Linked DNA regions of Macaca fascicularis. The protein of the gene in region 2 purifies or fractionates together with the protein of the main gene of each other region. This does not show direct contact. Links are inferred from orthologs where the notes say so. Each region holds a gene or a part of one and is shown on either strand. Other genes may lie near its edges. The genes, in order: CCNB1, PTCH1 and GRK2.

Region 1 (10,914 bases), on a different chromosome or scaffold from region 2:
TAGAACTTGAAGTATAATAAAAAAAATTTAAAACTTTTATTTATTTATTTATTTATTTATTTTTGAGACGGAGTCTCGCACTGTCACCCAGGCTGAAGTGCAGGGGCCAGATCTCAGCTCACTGCAAGCTCCGCCTCCCGGGTTCATGCCATTCTCCTGCCTCAGCCTCCCGACTAGCTGGGACTACAGGCGCCCGCCACCTCGCTCAGCTAGTTTTTTGTATTTTTTAGTAGAGACGGGGTTTCACTGTGTTAGCCAGGATGGTCTCGATCTCCTGACCTCGTGATCCGCCCGTCTCGGCCTCCCAAAGTGCTGGGATTACAGGCTTGAGCCACCGCGCCCGGCCAAAAATTTAAAACCTTTTTTAAAAAAAGATCACAGTGAATGGGCACAAAAATACAATTAGAAGGAATAAGATCTAGAGTTCGGTAGCCTAGATCTGGCCTAGGGTGACTATAATTAACAATAATTTATTGTATATATTTCCTTTTTTTTTTTTTTCTTTTTTTTTTGAGACAGAGTCTGCTCTGTCACCCAGGCTGGAGTGCAGTGGCGCAATCTCGAATCACTGCAACCTCTGCCTCCCAGGTTCAAGCGATTCTCCTGCCTCAGCCTCCTGAGTAACAGGAATTACAGGTTTGTGCCACCATGCCTGGCTAATTTTTGTGTATTTTGTAGAGATGGGGTTTCACCATGTTGGCCAGGCTGGTCTCAAACTCCTGAACTCAAGCAATCCTCCCACCTTGGCCTCCCAAAGTGCTGGGATTAAAGGCATGAGCCACCACGCTCGGCCTTTCTTTAATTTTTTTTTTTTTGAGACAAGGTCTTGCTCTGTCACCCTGGTTGGAGTGCAGTGGTATGATCTCAGCTTACTGCAGCCTCAACCTCCTAGACTCAAGCAATCCTCGCACCTCAGCCTCCTGAGTAACTAGGATTACAGGTACACACCACCAATCCCAGCTAATTTTTGTATTTTTTGTAGAGATGGGGTTTGCCAGGTTGCCCAGGCTGATCTTGGACCCCTGGGCTCAAATGATACTCCTGCTTTGGCCTCCCAAAGTGCTGGGATTACAGGCATGAACCACCGCACCCAGTCTGTATATTTCAGAATAACTAGAAGAGTGGAGTTGGAATGTTTCCAACACAAATAAATGATAAATGTTTGAGGAGATAAATATCCCAATTACTCTGATTTGATCATTACACATTGCATGCTTGTATCAAAATATAACATGTACCCCATAAATATATACAACCATTATGTATGCATAAAAATTAAAAATAAACATGACAAAATGTACCATTAAGAATATTAGTACCCCCCCCCCAAAAAATAAAAACAACAAAAGAAGAAAAAAAGAAAAAACAAACAAAAAAAATAAATAAAAAGAAGAATATTAGTCTGAGGCCAGGTGCAGTGGCTCTAGTGAACCCAGAGGTTAAGATTGCAGTAAGCCATGTTTGTGCCCCTGCACCCTGGCTGGGTAATAAAGACCCTGTCTCAAAACAAAAATAAAACTGGGCAAAGGCTGGGAGAGGTGGCTCATGCCTTTAATATTCCCAGTGCAGCCGGGCGTGGTGGCTCACGCCTGTAATCCCAGCACTTTGGGAGGCCAAGGCGGGTAGATCACAAGGTCAGGAGTTCGAGACCAGCCTGGCCAATATGGTGAAACCCTGTCTCTACTAAAAATACAAAAATTAGCCAGGTGTGGTGACGGGCACCTACAGTCCCACTTACTTGGGAGGCTGAGGCAGGAGAATCACTTGAACCTGGGAGGCAGAGGTTGCAGTGAGCCGAGATCGAGCCACTGCACTCTAGCCTGGGCAACAGAGCGAGACTCCATTTCAAAAAAAAAAAAAAATGTGTATATATACATACACACACATGCACACACACACATATATACATATATATAGACACATATATACATGTATATATATATATTCCCAGTGCTTTGTGAGACCAATAGTTTGAGATGAGCCTTGGAAACATAGTGAGAACCCATCTCTACAAAAAATAAAAAATAAAAAAATTAGCTGGGCATGGTGGCTCACACCTATAGTTCTAGCTACTTGGGAAGCTGAGGCAGAATTGCCTGAGCTCAGGAGTTTGAGGTTACAGTGAGCTATGATCACACCAGTGCATTCCAGCCTGGGTAACAGAGTGAGACCCTATCTCAGAAAACAAAACAAAACAAAAACTGGGCAAAATACCTGAACAGATACCTCACCAAAGAAGTTATACAGATGATAATCACAGAAAAAGATACTCAACATCATATGTCATTAGAGAATTGCAAATCAAAATACAATGAGTTACCACTACATACCTATTAGGATGGCTACAATTTTTTTTAAAAACTGACAACACCAAATGCTTGTGAGGATTGCTGATGGAAATGCAAAATGGTACAGCAGCTTTGGAAGACAGTTTGGCGGTTTCTTACAAAAGTAACCATACTCTTACTATATGATCCAACAGTCTTGCTCCTTGGTATTCACCCAAATGAGTTTAAACCTTATGTCCACTCGGCCGGGCGCAGTGGCTCATGCCTGTAATCCCAGCACTTTGGGAGGCCGAGGCAGGCGGATCACGAGATCAGGAGATCGAGACCATCCTGGCTAACCCGGTGAAACCCTGTCTCTACCAAAAACACAAAAAATTAGCCGGGCGTTGTGGCAGGCGCCTGTAGTCCCAGCCACTAGGCAGGAGAATGGAGTGAACCCAGGAGGCGGAGGTTGCAGTGAGTCGAGATCGCACCACTGCACTCCAGCCTGGGCGACAGATACAGGCTCCGTCTCAAAAAAAAAAAAAAAAAAAAAAAAAAAGTAAAAAAAAATTTTTTTAACTGGAACACAGAGGATAAGTAATCCTGCCTCACCCCTTGCCTCTCGCCCTTGCATGGGGCGAGGCAGGATTGATCAAACCCAGAAAGACTGAGGATGGATGCTGAACACAGAACTGAAAGATGAATGGGAATTACCTGAATAGAACAGGGGCTTGAGTGCAACAAGAGGCGGGCATTCCAGGCAGAGGAGAGCAATGGTAAGGGCCCCACGGTAGGCATCCGAGTAGGAGGGTAGAACTATGATGATAGAAGACTGAATAACGATCGAATGAAACCAAATGATTGGGCGCCTTCTTTCGGATCCTTGACTTCCAGGGCCAGCAGTCTCTATTGGCTCTTATACCGTTGCTCTATGAGGTATCAATGTTTTTGTCCTTCAGCCTCCCCTCCAATTGTTGAGCTCCTGGTGTGTTTTGAGGAGTAGAAGGCAAAAAGAACCCTCTTATTTTTCTTTGGATCCCGAGAGAGATTGAGCAAATAACAAAGCAAATGGTGTAAAATGTCTTTTTGTTTAGTTTTTCTTGATCTTCCCATGAGAGGCAAATACATGTTAAGGATAGTTGAATCTGGGTAAAGGGTACAGAAATGTTCCTTACAAGATTTTTGTTGGCAACTGGTGCAAGTATGAAATTATTTCCAAATAGGAAGCTAAAACACACAAAACAATTGGCCTTGGGAAACTGGCCAATCTTGAAGTAATCAAGTAATATTGTTAAGGGACAATCAGTATTGTGAAAACACGAATACGCCCCCTCCCTCCCCCTCAAAAAAAAACCCCTAAATTCTGTTCCCCCGTTGCTAATGTGTGATCCTGGCAAAGTCATCTAAGGCGCTGAGCTTCAGTTCCTCCACCCCAGAGAGTTGTTGCAACGATCAAATGAAAGAACGTATATCAAAGCCTTTCATGAACTATATTATTGCTGCTACCGTAGAAATGGAAAGTGTACAATAATTTGGACTAGATCCAAAACTACTTTTGACACTTCTGAGACTGTGGCCGCGCCACTGTCACCTTCCAAAGGTCACCAGGCCTTTCCTGAGCTGATATTGGCAGCGCACACTCTTGCCCGGCTCACCTTTCCAGGTGGGCGGTGCTCGCGCTGCTCGGCTCTCCAGGTGGCCGCGGCAGCTGCCCCAGAGCGCAGGCGCGGAGGCAGACCACAGGAGAGCCTGGCCACGCCTTCCGACCTAGCCTCACTCTGGCCCCGCCCCTCTCGAACGCCTTCGCGGGATCGCCCTGGAAACGCATTCTCCGGGACAGGCAGCCGCCAATGGGAAGGGAGTGAGTGCCACGAACAGGCCAATAAGGAGGGAGCAGTGCGGGGTTTAAACCTGAGGCTGGGCCTGCTCTTCCCGGCGTGCTGCGGAGGAACGGCTGTTGGTCTCTGCTGGGTGCAGGTCCTCGGCTGGTCGGGGCTCTGGTGTTCTGCTTCTCCCCGCTGAGCTGCTGCCTGGTGAAGAGGAAGCCATGGCGCTCCGAGTCACCAGGGTGAGCCGCTACGGACTGCGAACTGACGCGGCCTTCTTCGCTGCAGCCTGCTCGCTCTGCCTCGCCTGCGGGAGCCCCCCGAGCGGGAGAGGGCCGCAGGAACGATTTGGGGAGGAAGGTGGGAGGGAAGTCACCAAGAGAGCGTCGAGGTGGGCCCAGGCCTGGTGGGGGAGTGTGGGGGACGATGGATGGAGGGAGGAAGGTGAGAAAGAGAACTGGACCGATATTGGATAAATGTTTGGGGGAGATGGAAAGTCGACTGGGAACCTTTTGAAAAAGTGATAGAGGGTCCCTGAGTGGGCCCGCCAGCAGCTCTGTAACCCCCTTCCCAGAGAGAAGGTGTCTGCAATTGGAGGCTTTTTCGGTTTCCTTTCAAACGTAAATTCTCGGTATTTTAGGGCTGGGCAGGACTAATCAGGGAATCCCTCAATTGGTAAATGTAGAGGTTGTCGGCGGAAACTGACTTGTCACGGCCGCAGAGTAGACTCTGGGACCCACGTTTTCCCTCGGAACCCATTTTTACTCGGCTTTCCTTCTGGGAACTTCTCTTGTGCCCCACCTTAATTAACCCTTGACTTACTCGAGCCTCCGTGGACCAGCTCTTAAAGTGGTCTTTGCTTCTTTCAGAACTCGAAAATTAATGCTGAAAATAAGGCGAAGATCAGCATGGCAGGCGCAAAGCGCGTTCCTACGGCCCCTGCTGCAACCTCCAAGCCCGGATTGAGGCCAAGAACAGCTCTTGGGGACATTGGTAACAAAGTCAGTGAACAACTGCAGGCCAAAATGCCTATGAAGAAGGTAACTGTCTTCCCAACCTAACTTCTGTCAGAGCTGGCCTTACAACTGTGGCCTTTGATGCAGAAACATTTCATTCTCTCTGTTTCATCTACAGGAAGTAAAACCTTCAGCTACTGGAAAAGTTATTGATAAAAAACTACCAAAACCTCTTGAAAAGGTACCTATGCTGGTGCCAGTGCCAGTGTCTGAGCCAGTGCCACAGCCAGAACCTGAGCCAGAACCTGAGCCTGTTAAAGAAGAAAAACTTTCGCCTGAGCCTATTTTGGTAAACTTATTCTTACCATTGTAGAGTCTGTTGATTATTTCTTGTCCCTTATTTCACTGCAAGAGCATTCAAATTAATACCATTTATTGAGTGCTTAGCATGAGGCAATCTCTGCCCAACATTCTACATGCATTAACTCACATAATCTTTACAGGTACTCTGAGGTAGGTATTGTCACCTCTGCTATTTAAATCATGGCTTTAGAGAGGTTTTGTCAGGGTCACACAGGTAAGTGGCCCATATGAGATTTAAGCTCAGGCTGTCTGGCTTCAGAATCTATGCTTTTAATTGTTAACTGTCTTATATTCCTTCGTTAATGATATTAAGTAGTACCTGCCTGAGCCAAAGGCTTTGTTGTCCAAGTACAAGCCACCTCTGCAGAATTTATCGGAGTAAACAGAATGTTCTCTTGAAATTTTTTACTGCCTAATATGGCTACTAAATAATAAACCTGTAACACTGGAAAATGCAAAGGAGTAAAACAGGAAGAATGCAACTTTTCAGGGAGTGGTTAAGAAGATGAATTAATGGCCGGGCGCGGTGGCTCAAGCCTGTAATCCCAGCACTTTGGGAGGCCGAGGCGGGCGGATCACAAGGTCAGGAGATCGAGACCATCCTGGCTAACACCGTGAAACCCCGTCTCTACTAAAAAAAAAATACAAAAATTAGCGGGGCGTGGTGGCGGGCGCCTGTAGTCCCAGCTACTCGGGAGGCTGAGGCAGGAGAATGGCGTGAACCCGGGGGGCGGAGCTTGCAGTGAGCCGAGATCGCTCCACTGCACTCCAGCCTGGGCGACAGAGCAGACTCCGTCTCAAAAAAAAAAGAAAAAAAAAAGATGAATTAACACTTAGCCTCAAAACCAGTAACTTTTTATTAAATAAAAGGTATGTAAATGTATCCTATGATAGACCTCCCTGTGAAGGAAAAGTAGGTCATGTAGAGGAGGCTGCTTTGATGAAACTGCAATGAACTGCATTCTGAAGCTCAGTTTTTTAAACTTAATTAAAACCAGTTGGGAAAATTATCTGAAAAAAAAATTTTTTTTTTTTTTTTTTTTCTTTTTTTTTGAGACGGAGTCTCAGCTGTGTCGCCCAGGCTGGAGTGCAGTGGCCGGATCTCAGCTCACTGCAAGCTCTGCCTCCCGGGTTTTTACGCCATTCTCCTGCCTCAGCCTCCCGAGTAGCCGGGACTACAGGCGCCCGCCACCTCGCCCGGCTAGTTTCTTGTATTTTTTAGTAGAGACAGGGTTTCACCGTGTTAGCCAGGATGGTCTCGAACTCCTGACCTCGTGATCCGCCGGTCTCGGCCTCCCAAAGTGCTGGGATTACAGGCTTGAGCCACCGCGCCCGGCCCTGAAAAAAAAGTTTTTGAGACAGAGTCTGGCTCTGTTGCCCAGGCTGGAGTGCAGTGGTGTGATCTCGGCTCACTGCAACCTCTGCCTCCCAGGTTCAAGCAATTTTCCTGCCTCAGCCTCCCTAGTAGCTGGGATTACAGGCGCACAACACCACACCCAGCTAATTTTCATATTTTTAGTATAGATGAGGTTTCACCATGTTGGCCAGGCTGGTCTTGAACTCCTGACCTCGTGATCTGCCTACCTCGGCCTCCCAAAGTGCTGGGATTACAGGCGTGAGCCACCGCGCCCAGCCAGTTAAGCTTCTTATATCTAAGGATAAGACATTGAAAACTATTGCTTTAGTGTTGAATTTCTGGGCATAGCACATGAAACATGTAGCCAGCATGGTCTTTGGGCATATCAAACTACATGATGCTTTCTTGAAAGGTCCATACCGATTCTTACCTTTGCTTTCCCACTTAGTAAGAATGCCTTCCCTACCCTTTCATTTAGCTAATAACCTTTTCATCCTTGAAAACAGCTCAAGCACCAACTCCTGAAGCTTTCCTGAACTTCTCCCATCTCCACCCCTGTTCCTAGAATCAGTCTTTTTGTTTGTTTTGAGACAGTCTCATTCTGTTGCCCAGGCTGGAGTGCAGTGATGCCATCTCAGCTCACCGCAACCTCTGCCTCCTGAGTTCAAGCGATTCTCCTGCTTCAGCCTCCCAAGTAGCTGGGACTACAGGCACGTGCCACCATGCCTGGCTAATTTTTCTATTTTTAGTAGAGACGGGGTTTCACTATGTTGGCCAAGCTGGTCTCGAACTCCTGATCTCGTGATCCACCTGTCTCAGTCTCCCAAAGTGCTAGGATTACAGACATGAGCCACCATGCCCAGTCTCAGTCTTATTTTTACTTATTTATTTATTTTTTCCCGAGACGGAGTCTTGCTGTGTCACCTAGGCTGGAGTGCAGTGGCGTGATCTTGGCTCATTGCAACCTCCGCCTCCTGGATTCAAGCAGTTCTCTTGCCTCAGCCTCCTGAGTAGTTGGGATTACAGGCACCCGCCACCACACCCAGCTAATTTTTTTTTTTTTTTTCTATTTTTAGTAGAGAGGGAGTTTCACCAGGTTGGCCAGGCTGGTCTCAAACTCCTGACCTCATGATCCGCCAACCTGGGCCTCCCAAAGTGCTGGGATTACAAGTGTGAGCCACCGCGCCCGACCTTATTTCTTTACTTTGTCTACTAAATTCAGAGTCCCTTGAGGATGCCATGAAGTCAATGCCTTGTAGAGTTTGACTTGAAGAAGGGGCTCAATAAATGTTTGAACAATGGGATAAAGGGAGCTTGAAGGAAGTGGTTAATGGTAATGAAGTTAATCCTTAGTAGTCAGGATAGAATTTATGTTATTTTGAGTAGTGAGAAGCAGTTTATATTTTGAAATAAAGACTAAAGACTGAACTGTCCTTTATTTGGATTAACTTCACATGTTGCTGATAAAGATTAATTACTTCTCAGTTTCCTTTGCAGGAAAGTCTAGAATGTGAATTTATTTGCTTCCAACTTTAAACTGACTCACTCTGAGTTGGCATTTCACTCTTTTTTTTTTGCCCAGGCTGGAGCAGAATGGCGCAATCATAGCTCACTGTATCCTCAAACTGCTGGGCTCAAGTGATCCTCCTACCTTGGCCTCCTGAGTAGCTAGGATTATAGGCAGTTGCCTTCATGCCCAGCTAATTTTTTGTAGAGATGAGTTATTGCTATATTGCCCAGGCTGGTCTCGAACTCATGGTCTCAAAGGATCCTCCCACCTCAGCCACCCAAAGAACTGCGATTACAGGCTTGAGCCACCATGCCCGACCTCATTCTTTTTAATTGAGTAATTAAATGATCACTTTCTTTTTTAACAAAGACAGGGTCTTGCTATATTGCCAAGGCTTGTCTTGATCTCCTGGCCTCAACCTCAGCCTCTCAAAGTGCTGAGATTAAAGGCGTGAGCCACCACGCCCAACCCAAATGATCACTTTGGATGTTAATCACTTCCTAAAAAGAAATGGAATAAGTATGAAAAGATACTTTTCCTTTAAGGAAATGAATTGTATGTTGATTCAGGAGAACACTATCTTGAGTTGGTACCAATAACCTGACCTTCAAGCCCAAACTATAGTGCTTACTCCTATTTGCTCTTGTTTCAAGAGATCTCTTTGTTTTAAGGTCGATACTCCCTCTCCAAGCCCAATGGAAACATCTGGATGTGCCCCTGCAGAAGAAGACCTGTGTCAGGCTTTCTCTGATGTAATTCTTGCAGTAAATGATGTGGATGCAGAAGATGGAGCCGATCCAAACCTTTGTAGTGAATATGTGAAAGATATTTATGCTTATCTGAGACAACTTGAGGTCAGTATTATCATTAGTTTTTTTTCTAAACTGCATCTAACTTTATGAAAGTCTTTTCTATCAATAGTTCATAATAATTCAAGCAGGACTTGGGCAGCATTTCTTAAGAGATCGCACTTTCAAATTCTCCTTCATGGAATACCTAAAATAAAAAGTCACTAAATCAATGGAGTCTATTTGCCACTTTGTGCAGGAAAGTTCGAAGTCAGGGTGGATACTACTATCGGTCTTTCTGAAGGAAAGTCCACAGATTGAATTTGATATGTATATATGCAATCTCCACCGTATTTGGAATGGTTAAGTCCCAAACTCTGCATTTTAGGTAATAATGGGTCAGCAAGTGGATGAGAATGTAGAATATACTCAAAGACTACAGCCACCCCTAACACAAGGCATTTTGTGTTAGTGTGGCTGATGTGCGTCCAGTTGTTGGTGAAATTATTTGTGCCCAAAAGGAGTACACTCAAAAGCTACTTTTTGGTTCACTTCAATTTGATCCCACTTTTGAAACTTTCTCTTAATGGCATTTGCCCTTTTCCTACAAACACAAGTATTCTATATGGCAGCATAAACATAGTAGCGTCAACTATACCGTTATCACATTTACCTAGTTTTTTGGTGTGTGTGTGTGTGTGTGTGTGTGTTTTTTTTTTTTTTTTTTAGAGGGAGTCTCACACTGTCGCCCAGGCTAGAGGGCAATGGTGCCGTCTCAGCTCACTGCAATCTGCCTCCTGGGTTCAAGCAAGTAATTCTCCTGCCTTAGTCTGCCGAGTAGTTGGGATTGCAGGCACACACCACCATGCCTGGCTAATTTTTTGTATTTTTATTTGGTTTTGGTTTTTTGAGACAGGGTCTTGCTCTGTTGCCCAGGCTGGAGTGCAGTGGTGCAATCTCGGCTCACTGCAACCTCTGCCTCTCGGGTCAAGTGATTCTCATGCCTCAGCCTCCTGAGCAGCTGGGATTACAGGTGCCCACCACAACACCCAGCTAATTTTTGTACTTTTAGTAGAAATGAGGTCACCATATCGGCCAGGCTGGTCTCAAACTCCTTAGATGATCCACCCACCCGGCCTCCCAAAGTGCTGGGATTACAGGCATGAGCAGTCGTGCCCAGCCCCCAGTTGTTTTTAATGCATCGTCTTAATGTCATCACTGACATCTCTTGCCTGCTCCTTTGGGGCCTCTCCTTTTTCTATAGGATTCTTCTGCAAGACTTCTATGCCAGGAGTAGCCTTCTGCTTTGAGTTTCTTCTGCCATCTTTTTAGGGCTTTTTAAAGTTGTGTTCTAACTTTGGAGGATACCTTTTTTTTTTGAGACAGTCTCGCTGTGTCACCCAGGGGGTGTGCCGTGGCTCACTGCAAGCTCCGGCTCCCAGGTTCACGTCATTCTCCTGCCTCAGCCTCCTGAGTAGCTGGGACTACAGGCACGTGCCACCATGCCTGGCTAATTTTTTGTATTTTTAGTAGAGACAGGGTTTCACCATGTTAGCCAGGATGGTCTCGATCTCCTAACGTCATGATCCACCCACCTTGGCCTCCCAAAGTGCTGGGATTACAGGCATGAGCCACCGTGCCCAGCCTGTAAATGTGCTGTTTCTTGATGCTTCGTTCTTGTTCTGTGCAAGGCGGCCATATATGCAAAGCAACCCCCCAAATGTCAGAGGAGCTGAGAAACCAAGGAATGAGGCAGATAAATGGAGTTTGCTGGTATTGGGTGACTGATGAGGGGGAATTTACAGACATAAGTCTGGTCTTTGATGGCTGTAAGATGTAGATCT
Region 2 (10,341 bases):
TAGAACTCCCAACCCCAGCAGCTCAGGAAACCACAGCTTTTGAACAAGCTGTACATGTATGGCTTGGACACGGCTAGTAAGAAGGGAGAAGGGTTTATTTCATTTCAGGACATGCCTTGGATGACTTCAAAGGCTTCAAAAAAAAATCTGGTTGCGTTAGTGCTCAGAATGGTTAAGCTCTTGGGGTCTGAAGTGGGGGGAGGAGGGGGAGCACAGGCCCCCTTCCGTCTCTCTGAGAAGTGAAACCCTCCTTCTGACACGACTGGCTAGAGGAACAATTTGGGGATGACAGTAACGAAAGGAGGCCATGTCGGGTTGAACGTGGAGGGGAGACGGGACAGGAGACCACCGGGTGGGCCGCGTACCTCTCAGACACACGGTTTTCATAGGGAGGCATGCACACACACAGCACCGAGCAGATGTTATGTTATTACTGAAAGCCCTTTCTTCCTGCTTTTGAAAAAAAGTGAACAGGAGAAGAAAAATTACTGCTCCTCCTTTCCCCTCAAAAAGGGAGACCTCATCTGTTTTCCTCGCCGTAACAGTTTTCATGACCTCACAGCGCGTCCTGGGCTTTAAGCCCCTCTCCCTTAACCGGCTAATCCTGAAGACAGGCTCACGCTTGGTGAGTGTGGGGCAGCGCTGGGCATCACAGCAACCAAGGGACAGCCCCGTTACAGTTAGTCACTCCGGCTTCACACATGGAGGAACTGAGGCTTGGAGAGGGGAGCCCGGAGAAGGCCACGCAGCAGGTGAGCGTTGGACGGAACTCAAACCCAGGCAGCAAGTCAGCAGAGGCAGACGGAGCCACTCACTGGCCTACAGTGCCGGGACACACTGTGGTACCCAAAGATGTGTCAAAGGCAGGAGTAAGACAAGCAGATTCAACTCCAGCATCAACAACATCTGGTGGCAAACAGGGTCCCCAAAATCTGAGGGCGGTTTTACGATATTCACACACAAAGACTTCTGGGACACCCGAGGGTGAAACAAAGGAAGAAAGAACCTATTTGGGGAAGCCAGCCTTGTTGGAAACTGGATTCAACTCAGAATCTACACTGCTGGTCCCTTAGGTGCCATTCACTGTACCAGGGGTTCAAAGATGAATACGAAACAGTGATCGACTTTATGGAACAGTTAAGTTCTTTCCCCATTACTACAGTATTTTCTGATGAATCACCAAAAAGCTCAAGTAACAATGGGCTGGCCTAAGCACATGTACAAGGTACGACCCTGGACACAAAACAAGGGATAAGGTTGGGTTTCCACTGCCCCTTATCCAGTGCTTCATATTCTAACGCACGCACACTCTAGAAAACTGTGACATTTTACTTATTTTACAGCAAATCTTAACATGTCAGCTAGAAGTTCTCCCCTTATGAATACCTTGTGCTAGTAATTATTTTCTAGTGTAAAGTTCTGGCCTAAAGGAGTAACCCCGATTGCCCATTTTCCTTCAGCTATGGAACCCCAGAAGTAAAATGTTAATCACAATTTTGTTTGCATAATCCAGTGTGAAATAAAAAGGAACACATTTGCACAAGATTTGAGGCATGATTTTGATCTGACTCCGCCTTGTTTGCATGTGTTTTAAGATGTGACATGTAGGGCAGTTTTGAAATTAACCATTATATAGTTTTAGGAATAAAACAAATCAAAGATAAACTTTTGGAATGTTGATAAAGACCAATGAAATAACATGGTTTTAACGGGAATTCCATTAAAAACCAATGAGGCTCCCCCCATTTAAAAACCACACAAAAATGTTAGCAAGGAAAGCTGACTCAAGGCTAATTGTTTCCTTGGAGAAAATATTCAAAGACCACATCAACCACTCAACAGGCCTGAAGAACGTGTAGGCAGCAAAGGGCTCCCGGGTCTGGTCATTCTGTGTTGAGTGCTCTAGTGGACCCTGTAAGAGTCAGTCATGGAGTCCCAGGGCTGCCTGAGACCCTGACTGCTCAGCAGCAATGGATCTCACTTGGTCTAGGTGTATGCCGTTCACATAGCAATCAAAACATGATTCCAATGCACCTTAAAAAAGAAATCTCAAGTCCAGCTGCTTTACATCTATAAAGGAAGAAATGTATAGAGATGATCTACAATGCTCTATAAAAAGGTTAACCCCCTGCACGGCCTTAAGACAATCCCCCTTTACCCCCTTCCCGATCCTTGCCTAGCATGCCACACTGAGCCTCCAGAGCAGTGGCCAAAGACACTGAAATACCCTCTACAGTAACCCTCCTCTGCTCAGAGACTGGCAGGGCACAGCAGATCTCTTTGTTATCTGTGGCAAGTTATTTGCATGTCTTTGGTCAATGCAGGGAAAATGAAAAGCAGGGACTCTCTCCACTGTCTCTCTTTTAACTCATTATCCCGAAAACCATTGCTTTCTAAACTAAATGTGAAAAATAAAGCTTGGAACAAATTCACGTTTGTCTCAGGAGGCTGTTAATAGATAATAATCATGGCATGTTCTCTTTACCTTCCTCCAAAAGGAAAGTCAAACTGGGTATACATGTAGGCAGAAAGTTCTGGTAAACACAAGTCAAGGCCAGAAGCTAGCTGTATGGAACCTCCACCAACCTCAAGTTGTTGACCATTTCCGGCAAACTCTCAGGGAAACTGGCTGCCGAGTCTCTACGTACAAGTGTATTCACTTCAGACCAAAAAAGGCACTTACATCTGTGTCTAAACAAGCCTAATTAAGTGGGACATTAAGACAATCATTTGGATTAATCTAAGCCAAAAAATGTTGGGGGCCATAATGATTTGGTACTCCAGTAAAAGCGTTTTTGCTTGAATTGGGTGGATAATTATCCTGATTCTCTACTTGGCTTTGCATGTGTCAACGCAGAATAAATGAACAGATGTTCTTGGAATCACTGCATACATTTCTATGCAGTTGGTCAGGAGAAAATTTAGACTTTTTTTTCCCCTCCAGCTGATGAATATTTCCTAGAAACATTTCTAAGAGCAAAGAAACCAATAAAGGCACTTTATTATTTATTTATTTTTTGAGATGGAGTCTTGCTCTTGTCGCCCAGGCTGGAGTGCAATGGTGCAATCTAGGCTCACTGCAACCTCCACCTCCCAGGTTCAAGTGATTCTCCTGCCTCAGTCTCCTGAGCAGCTGGGATTACAGGCACCCACCACCACGCCCAGCTAATTTTTGTATTTTTAGTAGAGATGGGGTTTCACCATGTTGGCCGGGCTGGTCTCGAACTCCTGACCTCAGGTGATCTGCCCACCTTGGCATCCCAAAGTGCTGGGATTTACAGGTGTGAGCCACTGCACCCCACGAAGAAGGGCATTTTAAAGCAGAATTTGATTATTTATAAAATAGTGTGAAATGTGATTAAACATTTATAACTTTACTTTATGTACCAAATCACGAAATGGTCAAAATGAACCCAGCCGTAAAGTATGGAGCCTGGGTAACAGTGTGCAGGTTCGTCAGCTGTAACAAATGCAGCCCCTGCTGCAGGACGTTTATAGTGGGGGGCTGTGTATGGGTGAGGAAGGAGGACATGGGCCATCTCGGCACCTTCTGCTCAATTTTCCTGAAAACCTGAAACTGCTCTAAAAACAAAGTCAATTAGAAATAGACAAATAAGGCCGGGCGCGGTGGCTCAAGCCTGTAATCCCAGCACTTTGGGAGGCCGAGACGGGCGGATCACGAGGTCAGGAGATCGAGACCATCCTGGCTAACACGATGAAACCCCGTCTCTACTAAGAAATACAAAAAACTAGGCGGGCGAGGTGGCGGGCGCCTGTAGTCCCAGCTACTCGGGAGGCTGAGGCAGGAGAATGGCGTAAACCCGGGAGGCGGAGCTTGCAGTGAGCTGAGATCCGGCCACTGCGCTCCAGCCCCGGCGACAGAGCGAGACTCCGTCTCAAAAAAAAAAAAAAAAAAAAAAGAAATAGACAAATAACTTCTTAAAGGACGGTCAAAATACGGAGTTTAAGACTATGTCCACTGCTTATCTAGCATCTCCTGGTACAGTAAGCTATAATTTGGCAATCAGTCTGGAAATCCCAGCCACACTTTGATTTCATGTGGTCACCAAACTAGCCACCATCTATCCAAGAGGAAAGCACCAGAAGCCTCAGCTCCACCTGTTACATGCTCCCCTTTTCCTAACGTGCATCTGTACATTCCCACAGCAGCTCGTCTGAATTATCTGCATCATTTTACAGGGAAAACCCAGAGCTGGGAGGCTGCTGCAGAAACAGTCCAGGTAAGACTCTTGAGCAACTCTTAAAAGTCCATGAAACACGTCAGTGTTACATTCTAATCTAACACTTTCATAATCAGGACAAAGGAACCTGTTGAAGCTGAACATGCAAAAGAGCAAAAGGACGAAAGCCCTCCCACGGCCTTACCTTGAAGCCAGTCTCTGAAGTAGTGCAGCCACATTTTGGGAAGCTGTTTGTTTTCTTCCAACATGACATACTTCACGTTACTGAAACTCCTGTGAAGGTCGTAAAGTAAGTGCTGGATATTCGGGTAGTCTGCTTTCTGGGTGACTATATACATGTTGTAGAAAGAAAAGTATTTGAACTGTGCAGCAATAAAGTCATATTCTCTGGTTTCCCGAGGTACAATGTCCGTAAGGTCCAGCCCGTCTCTCACTCGGGTAGTCCCATAAAGGCTGACCCCCAGCAAGCCCAGAAAAAGGAAGATCACCACCACCTGGAACAGAAGAGGTACAAGGTCAGACAGATCCCAGGGAGCACCACTGACTCTGCCTGGACAAAGAGAAGCTGTCTAGTTAATACCTTGTTTGCACCACCACACTTGACCTGATTTAGCTTGTAGGGGTTGTTCTCCCATAGAAAAAGTATAAAATCACAGTAATCGCATTTTTGTTATTCATATATATATATATATTTGTGTGTGTGTGTGTGAGAGAGAGAGAGAGAGTCTTGTGTTGCCCAGGCTAGAGTGCAGTGGTGCCATCTCGGCTCACTGTAACCTCCACCTCCCAGGTTCAAGCAATTCTCGTGCCTCAGCCTCCTGAGTAGCTGAGATTACAGGTGTGCACTACCATGCCTGGCTATTTTTTTTTTGTATTTTTAGTAGAGATGTGGATTCACCATGTTGGCCAGGCTGGTCTTGAACTCCTGACCTCAGGTGATCCACCTGCCTCGGCCTCCCAAAGTGCTGGGATTGCAGGCGTGAGCCACCACGCCCAGCCTTGTTTTGTTATTTATCTGAGTTGGGATCTCACTCTGTTTCCCAGGATGGAGTGCAGTGGCATGATCAGGGTTCACTGTTGCCTCCAACTCCTGGGCTCAAGTGATCCTCCTGTCTCAGCTGCCCAAGTAGCTAGGACTACAGGTACACAGCACCATGCCTTTTTTTTTCTCTCTCTCTCTTTTGAGACAGGGTCTTACTCTCTCACCCAGGCTGGAATGAAGTGGTGCCATCAGGGTTCACTGTAGCCTTGAATCCCCGGGCTCAGTGATCTTCCCACCTCAGCCTCCTAAGCAGCTGGGACTATAGGCACAGCACCATGCCCTGGCAATTTTTTGTAGAGATGGAGTTTCACCACGTTGCCTGGGCTGGTCTCGAACTCCTGGGTTCAAGCAATCCGCTGGCCTTGGCCTCCGAGAATGCTGGGATTAGGGGCGTGAGCCACACCTGTCCCTGGCTAATTTTTAAAATATTTTGTAAAGACAGGGTCGTCCTTTGTTGCCCAAGGCTGTTCTCGAACTCCTGGCTCAAGCAATCCTCCCACCTCAGCCTCCCAAAGCGCTGGGATAACAGGCATGAGCCACCGCACCTGGCAATAATCACATTTTTAAACAACCTCATTCATAAAAAGATTCGCTGCATGGTGGTTCACTCCCACGGAAGATAACCTCATTAAAATGGCCCTGTGCTCTAAAAGCGTTGACTTTTGGAGGACTGAAATATATCATACTTATATGAATTTTTTTAAGGAAAAAGAAGAAAAGTAGAAGCAATCTGATGAGCTCCAAAGGTTCTGTTATTTTTTTGAAGACAGGAAGAGTCTTAAGTTGTGGTAGATTACCTTGGCTTTTGGTTTCAAGAGGAAAGGAGCATAGTGCTTCTCAGCAAAAGATGAGAGCGTCCACTTGGTACAGGGGGGCTCGAGGCAGTGGAGGCTGGAGTCGGAGAACTGGGAGAGCAGGTCCCTTGTGGAGCTGGTGCTCTCCGGGCTCTGGCAGCTGAGGGTGTCCTGCGTCACGGTGACGGGCTGCACGGAGATCTCGGAGCGCGGCTCGGCGGTGGTGTAGTACACGTGTGTGTGGGGGTCGTACTCCGTGCGGAGCTGGACAGTGGACTGCATGGTAATCTGCGTTTCATGGGCAAAGCTGTGGCTGCTGTAGGGGGGTGGGGGGCTGTAGCGGGTATTGTCGCGCGTGTCGGTGTAGGCCTGAGGTTCAACCTGAATCACTCTGCTGACGCAGGGGCTGAAAGGAGGGAAGCACGATGCAATGTTATGCTGAAAGAGGGTAACGGTGCTTTCATTCTGCCATTTTCACTGCGGACGGGGAACCCATTTTACACAGCCCTGACTTGGGAAGAGAAACGTTACACTGCTGAGCTCCAGAAACATGGCCTGGCTGATAACATCATTGCCTGGTGAACTAGATAAAAGTCAGTCTGAGGAGGCCACGTGGAGAACTGATCCTAAATTTGCCTTCCAAAAGCAAGTTCCATCATGACCAATCCTTCAAAGCATAATTCCAAACAAAATCAAACCACCAAAGGACTACACATCTTCTAGAGGGTGGTCTTCAATCTTGTTCTGCTCTAACGCGGAGATATGAAGCGCTCCCACAATTGGCAACATCAGTTCATGATGGGCAAAGGGGTCATCGGTACCAGCATCCCGAGGGCTGTGAGACTGTTCAGCTGGGGCAGGGGAGAAGGAAGCCCAGGAGACTCTGATGCCCCCCTAGGGAGGCAGCCTCTGTCCAATCTCTCCCCTGTCTCCTCCACGCCAGCACAAACCCTGTCACCCACATGCCTAAGTCCACAGCTGAAAGAGTTCTCTCACTGCACAATTCTGCACCCAACCAAAAGGCCACAGCGGTCTGAAAACGTACCTTGTAAAACAGCAGAAAATATCCAGTCTCCTGTCCTCGCGTCGATATAAATCCATGCTGAGAATGGCAGGAAAGATGAGCAGAACCATGGCAAAATTGAACACCACTACTACCGCCGCCTGGGAACAGAGAAGAAATTCAGAGGTCACCAACACGCCTCCGCCCACTCAGAGGTCACCAACACGCGGCCTCCGCCCAATCAGAGGTCACCAACACACCCCCGCCCAGAGGTCACCAACACGCCTCCGCCCAGAGGTCACCAATACCCCTCCGCCCACTCAGAGGTCACCAACACGCCTCCGCCCAGTCAGGGGTCACCAACACGCCTCCGCCCAGTCAGGGGTCACCAACACGCCTCCGCCCAGTCAGGGGTCACCAACACGCGGCTTCCGCCCAGTCAGGGGTCACCAACACGCGGCCTCCGCCCAGTCAGGGGTCACCAACACGCGGCCTCCGCCCAGTCAGGGGTCACCAACACGCGGCCTCCGCCCAGTCAGGGGTCACCAACACGCCTCCGCCCAGTCAGGGGTCACCAACACGCGGCCTCCGCCCAGTCAGGGGTCACCAACACGCGGCCTCCGCCCAGTCAGGGGTCACCAACACGCCTCCGCCCACTCAGGGGTCACCAATACCCCTCCGCCCAATCAGAGGTCACCAACACGCGGCCTCCGCCCAATCAGAGGTCACCAACACGCGGCCTCCGCCCAATCAGAGGTCACCAACACGCCCCCGCCCAGAGGTCACCAACACGCCCCCGCCCAATCAGAGATCACCAACACGCCCCCACCCAGAGGTCACCAACACGCCCCCGCCCAATCAGAGGTCATCAACACGCCCCCACCCAGAGGTCACCAACACGCCCCCACCCAGAGGTCACCAACACGCCCCCGCCCAGAGGTCACCAACACGCCCCCGCCCAGTCAGAGGTCACCAACATGCCCCCGCCCAGTCAGAGGTCACCAACACGCCCCCGCCCAGTCAGAGGTCACCAACACCCCTCCGCCCAATCAGAGGTCACCAACACGCCTCCGCCCAATCAGAGGTCACCAACACGCCTCCGCCCACTCAGAGGTCACCAACACGCGGCCTCCGCCCACTCAGAGGTCACCAACACGCGGCCTCCGCCCACTCAGAGGTCACCAACACGCGGCCTCCGCCCAGAGGTCACCAACATGCCCCCGCCCAGTCAGGGGTCACCAACACGCCCCCGCCCAGTCAGGGGTCACCAACACGCCTCCGCCCAATCAGAGGTCACCAACATGCCTCCGCCCAGTCAGGGGTCACCAGTACCCCTCCGCCCAGTCAGGGGTCACCAACAGCCTCCGCCCAGTCAGGGGTCACCAGTACCCCTCCACCCAGTCAGGGGTCACCAACACGCCTCTGCCCAATCAGAGGTCACCAACATGCCTCCGCCCAGTCAGGGGTCACCAGTACCCCTCCGCCCAGTCAGGGGTCACCAACACGCCCCCGCCCAGTCAGGGGTCACCAGTACCCCTCCGCCCAGTCAGGGGTCACCAGTACCCCTCCACCCAATCAGAGGTCACCAATACGCCTCCGCTCAGAGGTCACCAATACCCCTCCACCCAATCAGAGGTCACCAATACCCCTCCGCCCAATCAGAGGTCACCAATACGCCTCCGCCCAATCAGAGGACCGCTTCGAAAATAAAGATGCTTTTAAACAGTATTTTTCTTTCCCTTTCCTCTTGACGTGTTTGAAACTATGACAGATGTTAAGAGGTTCTTTTGCTACATCATCAAGAGCCGATGTGACAAGCATAGTCTTGACTATTTCTGGGCCTTTCTATCTCTAATAATTCCATGAACCGGAAAGGCACACCTGGGAACTAAACTACTAACGTGTTGCGGTAACCTAACCAAACCGAATCCACAAAGGCGGAACAGAGAGCACGCTCCAGACAGAATGTAAAACAAACAGAAGCATTTCCCTTCCAGAATGCTTCCAAGAGGTCACGCGACCCTGATTTTACAGTTAAACATTTTTATATAAAGTGGATCGAGTATATCAAAATGTCCCCCTTTAAAACAGGAAATACCATTTCGCACGTGTCCCCTGAGGTTTTCATAGGCAAATTCCAAACAGCCTCTGGAGTAGCCAGTGGGGTGTGAGAGCAAGAAACAGAGAAGGCCAAGGAGAGTTAAGCAGAAAGAAATTCCTGTGTGTGATTATAGTAGGCAGAAAGATTCAAAAGTCACTCTATAACCTAGAATAAACACAGGGCTAGATTCTGCAGTGTGTTGGCAAATCTCCTGCTGACCTAGTAAATATTACAAAATTGGGCTGTTAATAGAGGAAGCCAACAGAGGCCAGTGGAAAGTCGACCTAGCTTGGAAGGGCACGGCAGAGGGGGCACCACAGAGAAACGCACTGGCGACGCTGAGGAGCCAGGACATTGACAGACATGGCTTTGAAAATAAAAAACGAGGCCAGGCACGGTGGCTCGCCTGTTATCCCAACACTTTGGGAGGCCTAGGCGGGTGGATCATGAGGTCAGGAGATCGAGACCATCCCCACTAACATGGTGAAACCCCGTCTCTACTAAAACACACACACAAAAATTAGCTGAGCGTGGTGGCGGGCGCCTGTAGTCCCAGCTAGTCGGGGGGCTGAGGCAGGAGAATCACTTGAACCTGGGAGGTAGATGTTGCAGTGAGCCAAGATTGCACCACCGCACTCCAGCCTGGGTGACAGAGCGAGACTCTGTCTCAAAAAAAAAAGAAAATAAAAAACGAGGCTTCTCAAAAGAACTGCTTAGTTCACAAACCTCAAATTGATAAATGTCCTAGGGTAAGGAAAGAACACCTGGCTGTAACTGGCACCTAACACAATTGAGGGAGAACTCCCACAAAGGGCTTTGGATGGGAATTGTGAGTTTATGCTCAACGTAAACCAGCAAGCCTGAGTTCTGGAGAGATGTCTCCTAATAATTAATTCCCTGTCAAGAGTCTTCTAAAAACGACCTAACCTCTTTCTTCTTGGTCTATCTTGAAAATCCTTCATCAATTGAAAAATATGAAGCGTGTTAGCTTACCACTCTCGTGTATGTAAGACCTGTCGGATAGGCCTACACAAATAAGCTCATCACCACTGTGACAGGAGAATTCACCTGAGAGAGAGATCTTTTAAAAAGAAAAATCCAGTACTGTGCTGGGTGCTGAAGACACAAAGATAAGAAAAATCCTACTCTCAATTCTCACAGAGCAAGACCTATACGCAAATGACAATCCCAAATGATGG
Region 3 (10,341 bases), on a different chromosome or scaffold from region 2:
TCATTTTACAAGTGGGGAAACTGGACATTTCAACTTTGTGACCAGATGGTAAGGGCCATTTGGAACCCAGGCACCCATCCAGCGGCCAGAGCAAAGATCAAGGCCCTTGCTCAAAAGTGTTGGGATCCTTAGGGTCCTTCCGTCTGGGACTGTTGAGGCCACTTGGTTCTCCTGATGCTCCAGAGTAGATCTTGGGAGCCACGTTCCCCTGGATCTCAGGGTTGCTGACCTGGGTGGGGGCAGGGACACGCTCTGGGCTCACTGCCACTCCAGACTCTGCCAGTATCAGGGAGCGGTGTTGGAGACAAGGTGACCCAACCCAGGAGGCTGCACCGCCCCCATGCCCGCCTGTGCTTGCCACCCTGGCAGGAGCTGCCCCCAGTGGCAAGTTCTTCCAACCTGCCAGTTCCCTTGGCAGCCAGACCCATGGGAATAGACAGGAAACCCTAAAATTGCCACTTTGGGGGCCTTCCATTCAAGGACTGTGCTCAGGCCTGACCTCGTGTTTGGTTTCTTGCTGGGGGGAGGGGGGTTGTTTATTTTATTTAAAAAACATTTTTTTCTTTTTAAGGAAGAAAGTGGAGTGCTGTGGGCTGGGAAGAATGCGGTGGCCATGCCCAGGCGTGGCTGCTGAGGGGAGAGATGGCCTCAGAGCCCCAGGTCCTGCTTCCTGCTGTTCCCAGGCGGGGACCGACAGCAGAGCCCCTGGGAAGGAGAAAGGGCCTACCCGGCAGGTTCCCCTGGCTGTCGCAGGCAGGGAAGCGAGCATGCTTCCCCCTTGGAGATTTTGTATGTCCAGTTGAGAAGTGGCAGTGGCTACTCCCTGGCTTCTAGGTGGCCATTCCCTCTGCCAAGCTGGCACCATTTTTTTTTTTTTTTTTTTTTGAGACAGTCTCTCTGTCACCCAGGCTGGAGTGCAGTGACGCAATCTTGGCTCACTGCAGCCTCCGTCTCCAGGGTTCAGGTGATTCCTCTGCCTCAGCCTCCTGAGTAGCTGGGACTACAGGCGCACACCACCACGCCTGGCTAATTTTTGTATTTTTAGTAGAGATAGGGTTTCACCATGTTGGTCAGACTGGTCTTGAACTCTTGACCTCATGATTCACCTGCCTCGGCCTCCCAAAGTGCTGGGATTACAGGCATGAGCTACTGCCCCCTGCCAAGCTGGCACCATTTTTGCAGGCTCCTAGGAAGCAAGTCTGGGGCTCAGTGGGGCTTACTGCTGAAGCCCCGTGGCCCCCATTCCCAGGACCATGCCCAGCTCCTGGTGGGTGACCCCTACAGGCTAGAATTGCTTTGCCTGTCATCTGCATCTGCCTGTCGCTGCCTTCCGCTTGACCAGCACCTGATCATACTCATTTGACCCTCCACTGCCCCAGAAGACAGGCATTTCGGAAGACTGGCATTTTGTGTGGTTTTTTTTTTTTTTTTTTGCTTTTTTTCATCCTCTTCTGTGGACCAGAATGTCCCAGAACTCAAAAATCTGGTGCAGAACCAGAGTCCCGCCTTCCCGGCCCACCTCCCAGGTGAGATGCAGGCCCCTGGCCTTGGGATTTTCTCCACGCTCTGGTCTCCCAGTGCGTAACCTGTGCCTCAAGGGCCGCCCAGGGCCCAGGCCTCCTGTCTGCAAGTGCTGAGTGCAGGGACTGTGTCTTTCTCAGTTAAAGAGATTTTTATGAAGCCCCTGCTGTGTGTGAAACACCACAGTCTCCGTCCACCGTTTCCTGTGTCCCTGGGAGTCCCACGTGCAGGGAAAGATGTCCTTGACAGTGGCTGGTGGACATGAGCTGGCATGTGTCCTGAAGCGGTGGGTGTGCTGGCCTGGACGGGGGGCCCATCCTCGGAACTCCTGCCAGTTCTCAGAGAGCATCCTGACTCCCCGGTGGTGGGGCATTGACCCTTTTCCCATCCAGGCAGGGTCTGTTCTGAAGGAGTCATAGGATGCGAACTCAGGGTCACTTAGGCCCATCCTTGTCTTCAGTGCCCTGCTTCCTGTTGGAGACAACTTTGGAAGAGGCCACAGCCCCTCCCAGCCTCTGAGGGTGGGGAGCAGGCGAGGGGGTCACGGCCTTGGGACTGTGCTCATGGCAACCCTGCTGTGCACGTGCTATCGTGCTATCTTGCTCGGCCTTTCCTGAGGAAGGCTCGAACCAAGTGAGATCAGGGGCCGAGGCCCGGGAGTCCACTGCAGCCCTTCCCAGAAGGACAGTGCCCAGCGGAAACGGATAGGGGCCCCCCTCTCGAGCCTGAGGCCAGTGGCCAGGCAGGGTCCACAGGCCAGGTCAGTGCTGCCTGGAGCTGCTCTCCGCAGACAGCTCTTCTGGCTGGAGCCACTGTTCTTCCAGACCCTCGGGCCCAAAGCCTGGAAGCCCTCATGGGGCTGGACTCATAACCCTTCTCCTGGTCCCCGACAGCCTGAGCCTTCTCCCACCCACCCTCTTCCCCTTCTTCCTGCCCAAGTGTTGCCTCTGCCTGGGCTTCCTCCCCGTAGCGCCTCCAGTGGAGTTGGGCTGCTGCTGCCCTGGACCGAGCCTCCTGAGTCCTGCTCTCCCACCCACTCCTTGGCTCTGAAGCCCCCCAGTTTGCAAGGCCCTGCCCTCCCCCTTGCCATGGCCTTTGTGTGCCCTCTCCCCTGCCCTGTTGGCCTCTTGCTTATCCCTGGACATACTGTCCCCTGCCTGTTCCCATGTCTACCGACCTCCCTGGCTTCGCCACCTGCCGAGATCCTGCTTGCACTCCAGGAACCCAGGGGAGTTCCGCCTTCTGCACAGAGCCTCCCCAGACCCAGAGGCCTCCTCCCCTTCCCAAGGCTTCTGCACACGATGTCTGGTATCACAGGCTCAGAACCATGCCCTGGGCAGGGCTGCTTGGAGCAGGGGGTGGCTTTGGCATGATGTACACAGTGCCTCAGGGGTAGATGTGCAGCAGGTCTTCGTGACCACAGCCTGGGTGGCCAGTCCGACCAGCCCTGGACTGGGCTCCTAGGGGCAGGCAGGGCTGGGGTGCAGAGAGGCAGGGGCTGTGCCAAGCACAGAGAATCTGGACTTGCAGATCCAAATCTCCACCAGCTGCAGTCTTTTCCCAGGAGGCCTGCTGGCGGCCCCATAGATCCTGCAGGGCCATGTGAGCATGACATGGGCTCAGGTTGTTGGCCCTACAGTCCCCCAGCCCCGCACATGCCCTCAGTATGGCAGCTACACGTTACCCTAGGAGCCCAGACTACTGAGGACCAGATGCAGGCCTCAGCTGGCCATCGGGACAGACTGGCAGGGCTGGGCTGGAGATGGACCAGGAGAGGGCAGGAGGGGATAGTAAGGTGGTATTTGAGGCCAGGAGTGTAGCCTGTTGTGGCTCTCCCAGACAGCACTCATTGTGGGGGTGAGATAAACAGGGTGGGGGGTGTCAGGTTGGGTTTTGGGGGTCACAGTGGCCAGTCCCTCCCCTACGGCCATACCAAGCAACCCAGGGCAGGGGTCACATTTTATATCCAAGTACTAGGGACACACGACCAAGACATGGCCTTTTCTTACCATTTAAAACATTGAGATGCAGTTCATACAAAATTCATCATTTTATTATACAATTTAGTGTTTTTTAGTATATTCACCATGTTGTGCAACCCTTACCCCAAAAAGAAACCGCATCCCCACCGGCAGTCACTCCTCTCCCTCTCTCCAGTCCCCAGCAGCCGCAGATCTGCATTCTGTGTCCGTGGGTTTGTTCATGTGAGTGGACTCCCACAGTATGTGGCAACCCTTTGTGACTGGCTTCGTTCAGCCTCATGTTTTCAAGGCTTATCCGCGTTGTGGCCCCTGTCAGTGCCTCATTCCTTTTTACCGCCGAGCCATGTGCCCCTGTGTGGAGATGCCACATGTGTGTCTTTTCATCTGCTCACAAACCAGGTTTGCCTTTTGTGACTTGGCCAAGTGCCCAAAGCCAGCCGGTTGCAGCACTGGGACCAAACCCCACAGGCAGTGGGCCTCTAAGCAGGGGGCCACCTGCCGGCCACCCTGGCCTTTGGGACACAACCTGGCGGGGGCAGTGCAGGGAAAGGCTTCCTGGAAGCCGTCTGGTTTGACCTGTGGCTGGGGTGAGTGAGTATGCCCGACATGGTGGCCTCCTTCCTGGAGGGAGTGGCGACACCACCAGCAGTGCCCTCCGCTCACAGTTCTGGGCCTGCAGCCCCGACAGGCTCTGGGAGCTTCTGCTTACTGCACTCCCCTGTCCTACAGCATCCGCAGTGTCATGCAGAAGTACCTGGAGGACCGAGGCGAGGTGACCTTTGAGAAGATCTTTTCCCAGAAGCTGGGTGAGTATGGCAGTGGCTCTGCCAGCCACCAGGCTTCACTTCTTGCCCCTACCCCAGTCAGCCCAGCCGTGCTCCCCACTCTCTGGAGATTTGGCCTCCCATCTACTCAGGGTGGAGCAGCCAGCGAGACCCCAGGGTTTGCTCCAAGTCTCTGTGACCCTGTGTGTCTCCTAGCCCCTGCCCATCGGCCCAGGGAGCCCCGTGGTGGGGGTGGGGGCCCAGAGTCTTCCAGGGCCGCCAGGGAAGTTCCTCCTTTGGGGTTTTTGTTTTTGAGAGTTGCAGCTTCCCCTTGGCGCGGCCGCAGCTGCTCTGGGCCGTTGGTAGAACTGACAGGAAGAGGCGGGGCCCTTCCTGTGGCGCCTGCCGAGCTGTGGTTGGCCCCGCCCCACCCCATGGGCCCTCTTTGTAAGCAACCTGCCTGGCGCTGGCCCTCCATTCCTCCTCCAGCTGGTGTCTGATGCCTGCTGTCAGAAGTTTCATGCGACCCACCCTGTGGACCTGGCCTGGAGGGCAGGCTTGGGGCAGGTCTCGGGAAACAGGCTCCAGCCCCACATGGCTCTGATTTGGCCTTCCTGAGAATAGGAGCTCAGCTCTGGACAGGGGGCATCCTGGCCTGATGGGATCAGGCACTGGACGTCAGCCTGGGGGAGTCGGTGTGTCAGGAAGCACAAAGTTTGGGTCCCAGGCCTGTGCCATGTGCCCTCGGGCAAGTTGCTTCACCTCTCTGAGTCTGCTGGTGTCCTCACCTGGGAGATGGGACTCATGAGTCCCACTGCACAGGCCTGTCACAGTCAGATGAGAGCACTGTGCCCACTGTGAAGCCTGGTCCCCATTCCTCAAAAGCCCTGCACTAAAGGCCAGGCAGTGAGGACTGAAGTGATGGCCACAGCTCTGACCCAGGTGCCCATGCGGTGTCCCCGAAGGCATGGGAGGCTGCCAGCTTGAGCCGGCTCACCCGTGTCAGACTGGAGGCCTGAGAAGGGCCTCTGTCCCCGGGTAGTGCTCGGGGGCCAGGTCCCTGGGCCCAGGCCCAGGCCCCTTACTCAGGCATGAGGGCACTCTATCTGGGGTCCTCTGAGAGCCCCTCCCACAGCCCACCTTGCCTTTCCAGTTCCCTGTGGCCCATACCCCTTCCATGCCCCCTGCCCTGAGGCCCCAGCCCCCAACCTCTTTCCCAGGGACTTGCCACTTGGTAGAGTAGTCCTGAGTTCCGCTTGAGCCTCTGCCACAGGCAGTGTGTCTGACCAGCTCCTTGAGCCCTAGTTTCTCCAACTGGACCCATCCTTCCTGCCTGTTTCTCAGGCCACTGTGCAGATAAGCCAGACAATGCAGTGGGGCAGGGTCCAGAGGAGTGGTGTGGCCTCTCAGAGCCCCCTGCTAACCTCCCCCCCATGCTGCAGGCTGAACTGGCCCTGGTGGCCACAGCATCCCAGGGCCCCCAGACTGGATCGCGTTGCACCTGCACAGCCCGCCCCGGTGCGGGGTATCGGCCTCACAGAGCAGGCACAGGGTCCTGGGCTGCAGTGAGTGGGGGCCCAGGTGCCAAGCCAGGGCTCCCTGATGCCAGAGCTAACACCTCTCTTCTGCCTCACCCATCGCCGTCCAGCTGCCACCTGGGGAAACAGATTTCAGGAAGAGGGTAGAAACATAGGGGCCCTGACCCAGAATCCAGGTGTCTTCAAGTTGGCAGCAGCCTTAGTGGCTGCCTGGCCCACCCCTTGCCTGGGGCCGAGACCACCTTTGCCATCTCCATAGCCAGTTCTGCCCAGGGAGCTCAACTCACACCATCTGCAATGATGGGAAGGCCTCGGAGGCATGGCTCTGTGACCTTACACTGTTGCCTTCAGGGTACCTGCTCTTCCGAGACTTCTGCCTGAACCACCTGGAGGAGGCCAGGCCCTTGGTGGAGTTCTACGAGGAGGTGAGGCCCAGAGGCCCGGGCCCTGCTCTGCCCGGAGAAAGGGAAGGAGGTTGGGGCAGCTTTGTGGAATCCACAAGCCACCTGGTGTGGGCACCCCCATTCCCTGCTGGGCTATAGATGACCTGCAGGAATCCTGTCCTCCAGATCAAGAAGTATGAGAAGCTGGAGACAGAGGAGGAGCGTGTGGCGCGCAGCCGGGAGATCTTCGACTCATACATCATGAAGGAGCTGCTGGCCTGCTCGCACGTGAGTGTCCTCGGCTGGCCCTGTGTGCTGGCCCAGAGTCACCTGCAGATTGGGAGGGGAAAAGAGGACCCTGCAGAGAATTCATGGCCACCTCTGTCTTCCCCAGCCCTTCTCCAAGAGTGCCACTGAGCATGTCCAAGGCCACCTGGGGAAGAAGCAGGTGCCTCCAGATCTCTTCCAGGTGTGTGCCTCCCGATCCCTGCCCAGGCGAAGTCACCTTGGACAGCCCCGGGTCAACGAGCCTGGTCAGCTAGGGGTGGGGCCTGGGCAGCCATGGTCTCGGGGCTCAGTCACCAACTTCCAGCTTCCTCCCTTAGCCATACATTGAAGAGATTTGTCAGAACCTCCGTGGGGACGTGTTCCAGAAATTCATCGAGAGGTGAGAGCGGGGCAGTGTAGGAGAGGAATGGGGAGGGAGAAGCCGCTCTCAAAAGGGTGTGGCTGGTGTGGAGGGCAGAAGCCAGCCTTCATTAGGCCCTGAGCAGGCAGGTGGCTGGCCCATCAGTGGCCCCCTTGCAAGGACTCCTGAGAGGTCAGACAGGCTGCAGGTCATCTTCTCCCACGCTGCCATCCTCAGCACCAGGCAGCTCAAAGCCCATCCCAGGCAGTCTCCTAGCTCCAGGGAGCTCCAGGGACCTAGGAGAGCCGCGCCACCTGTGCCTCTTTCCCATGGGCTGTATAGCACCTTGCTGGCCCACCCGGGCTGAGAAGCATCAGGGTCGTGGTAGGGGTGGGCCCGGGAGAGCACATAGCCCCCGTGACCCTCACAGCCAGAGTTGGTGCGGTGGGTGGGAATTGTAGGCAGATTTCAGCTAGCTTTAGGGAGCAGCTTTTTTAGGGTCACTGCTGCCCAGCCATGGAGTGAGCTCTGTGTCACTGAAGGTATGCAAGCAGGGATGGGAGATGCACTTGTCAAGGATATGGTAGCAGAAGGTCTGGGTTAAACTGGAAGACCTCGTCTCTGTGTGGATCTGATTCCAGCAGGAAGCCACAGCCAGGTGGCCGAGGGCCGAGCTGGGTACCCAAGCAGCCCTGGCTGGCACTGTGGGTGGGCAGGCCCTCAACATATCATTCCTGGAAGAGGACATTAAAGCTCGTGATGTTTCCACATCTACCCTCACGGGACCCCAGGGAGTGGCTGCTGGGTGGGGCAGGCTCACAACAGCATCATCCTTCCCACATTCTGAGTGGCCCCTGAGCCCAGATTCTTCTCTTCCAGTGATAAGTTCACACGGTTTTGCCAGTGGAAGAATGTGGAGCTCAACATCCACGTGAGTGGGCCTGGGTGGGGCATGGAAAGCTGTGCACCCTGCTGCTCCTCTCCGGGGAGCTGGGCCTGAGGCTTGGCTGGGAGTGGGGAGGTCAGGGGGTATCTGTCCTTTAGCCCCCAGGGCCGTGGCTGCGGGGGTCAGGGCCGGGATCCTGGCATGGGGAGGCTGGAGCAGGTAAGTGTGTGGCGAGGATGGCCAGGACATGGGTATGGGGACCCTGGCATGGGGCCAGCCCCTGCTGCCCAGGTGCCTCTGCCCCAGGACTGGGCCAAGGCAGCCTGTGGTGACCGCAGCTGTCACTGCCCCTCAGCTGACCATGAATGACTTCAGCGTGCATCGCATCATCGGGCGCGGGGGCTTCGGCGAGGTCTATGGGTGCCGGAAGGCCGACACAGGCAAGATGTGAGCACCCTGCTCGGCGTGGGGGAATGTCTGGGGGAGCCGGGCTCCTGGGGGCCCTGATGGGCTGGGTTCTTCACAGGGCTACCTGCTGCCCCATGCACTCCTGTCTTGCCATGCTGTTACCCCTGCAGGCTCCTCTGGCCCCAGCCCTCCCTGTCTCTTATTTGTGTCACAGGCTGGTCCTGGGTCTAGTCTTTCCCTCAAGCGCCCTCAGAGGCAGCCCTGGGCCCCTGCTCCCAGGTGTTGATTGCCGACCTCTGCTCTGCAGGTACGCCATGAAGTGCCTGGACAAAAAGCGCATCAAGATGAAGCAGGGGGAGACCCTGGCCCTGAACGAGCGCATCATGCTCTCACTCGTCAGCACCGGGGTGAGTGGGGTGGGCTGGGCTGCCGCTGAGGCTCTGGAACCCCGGGCACCCCTGCTGACTGCCCCTCCCCTCATTTCTCCCCTCCCAGGACTGCCCATTCATCGTCTGCATGTCGTACGCGTTCCACACACCAGACAAGCTCAGCTTCATCCTGGACCTCATGAATGGTGAGTGCTGGCCCTGCCCCAGGGTGGTCTGGGCCCAGGCACGGCAGGCTGGGGCAAGATGCTGAATGCTGCCTGTGGGGCTGCCTCCCTCAGGTGGGGACCTGCACTACCACCTGTCCCAGCACGGGGTCTTCTCAGAGGCTGACATGCGCTTCTATGCGGCCGAGATCATCCTGGGCCTGGAGCACATGCACAACCGCTTCGTGGTCTACCGGGACCTGAAGGTGAGCGCCTTGCTGTCCCTAGGCTGGGCCTCCGTAGCTGTCCTCTCCTTCCTCTCAGCATCCCGGCCACCAGGCCCAGAGGAGTGAGGCTCCTGGGACATGGCCACCCCTTGTCTTCCCATCTCCGCCCCTGCCCTTCCCACCGAGCTACTCTCTGGGTCCAGGTTGTGGCTGGGGACAAGAGAGAGGACCCCACCTTTGCCCTTTCCTTGGGGAGCCATCGTCCTCTCCAGTGAAGCAGTGCCCCAGCTGGCATCTTGCCTGGCCGGGCCCCATCCTGAGTGCCCTGGGCAGCTCACTGGGCTTCCTCCACAGCCGGCCAACATCCTTCTGGACGAGCATGGCCACGTGCGGATCTCAGACCTGGGCCTGGCCTGCGACTTCTCCAAGAAGAAGCCCCATGCCAGCGTGTGAGTGCCCCCCACCCTCTCCCCCCCAACCCCTCACCACTCCCGCTCATGGCCCCCTTGCTCCCACAGGGGCACCCACGGGTACATGGCTCCGGAGGTCTTGCAGAAGGGCGTAGCCTATGACAGCAGTGCCGACTGGTTCTCTCTGGGGTGCATGCTCTTCAAGTTGCTGCGGGGGTGAGTGGCCCGTCCCAGGTGGGCAGGTGGGTCGGGGCTAAGAGAAGTTCCTCCCCAATCCAGGTGGGATGCCAGAGGAGGGGAGCCCATAGCTGCCTTGGTGTTAAGGGTGGCACCGTCCCTGACTTTGGTCACAGCTCATTCATGCTGCCTGCCTCCCTTTCCCCATTCCTGTCCTTTGACGTTGTTTTTGGCCTCTCTTGCCCAGGCATAGCCCCTTCCGGCAGCATAAGACCAAAGACAAGCATGAGATCGACCGCATGACGCTGACGATGGTGGGTGCGGGTCTCAGCGCAGGGCTGCGGAGGGGGTGGGTGGGGGAGCTCCTGTGAGTGCCAGGGCATGACTCTTGCTTCCCACCAGCCAGCAGAGATCTCGGCCACTGACCCCTACTCTGGCCTCCGAGGCAGACCTCCTGCCCCTAGGCTCTTGTCCTCCCCTTGCTGTTGGAGCACCTGACTGATGGAAGCTGCGCCCCATCTGTCCCTCTGCCGGGGGCTTGGACCCCTCTCTCCCCTGAGCTGGGATGGGGTCGAGGGCTCTTCCTAAGCCCCTGCTAATGTCCCACTCCTCTCTAAAGGCTGTGGAGCTGCCCGACTCCTTCTCCCCTGAACTCCGCTCCCTGCTAGAGGGGCTGCTGCAGAGAGACGTCAACCGGAGACTGGGCTGCCTGGGCCGAGGGTGAGTGCCCTGGCGCCTTGGGCATGCTGCCGGCTGTGCCCCCATGAGGACAAGGGCTGTGTCCCGTCACCTGGAACCCCCTCCAAGGTCGCAGCCTCCTTGGAGGAGCTCACAAGTTGGGGCATGGCCAGCCCTGTCCAATGTTCTCAGGGTGGAGGGGCTGCC

The links.
Region 1: the proteins of PTCH1 (region 2) and CCNB1 purify together in Homo sapiens (affinity purification with western blotting; 3 studies listed by BioGRID and IntAct, with this or other methods). This does not show direct contact. The link is inferred for Macaca fascicularis from reciprocal best matches to the Homo sapiens genes PTCH1 and CCNB1.
Region 3: the proteins of PTCH1 (region 2) and GRK2 purify together in Homo sapiens (affinity purification with western blotting; 3 studies listed by BioGRID and IntAct, with this or other methods). This does not show direct contact. The link is inferred for Macaca fascicularis from reciprocal best matches to the Homo sapiens genes PTCH1 and GRK2.

What each region holds. Positions count from the first base shown.
Region 1 is NC_088380.1:74,825,704-74,836,617, forward strand, and holds the start of CCNB1 (G2/mitotic-specific cyclin-B1), read left to right. Parts: upstream 1-4,204; 5' UTR 4,205-4,317; coding exon 4,318-4,338; intron 4,339-4,965; coding exon 4,966-5,136; intron 5,137-5,230; coding exon 5,231-5,401; intron 5,402-8,953; coding exon 8,954-9,136; intron 9,137-10,914. UniProt on the Homo sapiens protein: Essential for the control of the cell cycle at the G2/M (mitosis) transition.
Region 2 is NC_088389.1:127,585,053-127,595,393, reverse strand, and holds part of PTCH1 (protein patched homolog 1), read right to left. Parts: intron 7,203-10,341; coding exon 7,084-7,202; intron 6,445-7,083; coding exon 6,042-6,444; intron 4,697-6,041; coding exon 4,387-4,696; intron 1-4,386.
Region 3 is NC_088388.1:7,094,162-7,104,502, reverse strand, and holds part of GRK2 (beta-adrenergic receptor kinase 1), read left to right. Parts: intron 1-4,232; coding exon 4,233-4,309; intron 4,310-6,156; coding exon 6,157-6,230; intron 6,231-6,374; coding exon 6,375-6,476; intron 6,477-6,582; coding exon 6,583-6,657; intron 6,658-6,793; coding exon 6,794-6,855; intron 6,856-7,695; coding exon 7,696-7,747; intron 7,748-8,057; coding exon 8,058-8,149; intron 8,150-8,417; coding exon 8,418-8,517; intron 8,518-8,605; coding exon 8,606-8,684; intron 8,685-8,777; coding exon 8,778-8,908; intron 8,909-9,223; coding exon 9,224-9,318; intron 9,319-9,387; coding exon 9,388-9,495; intron 9,496-9,703; coding exon 9,704-9,770; intron 9,771-10,075; coding exon 10,076-10,176; intron 10,177-10,341. UniProt on the Homo sapiens protein: Specifically phosphorylates the agonist-occupied form of the beta-adrenergic and closely related receptors, probably inducing a desensitization of them. Key regulator of LPAR1 signaling.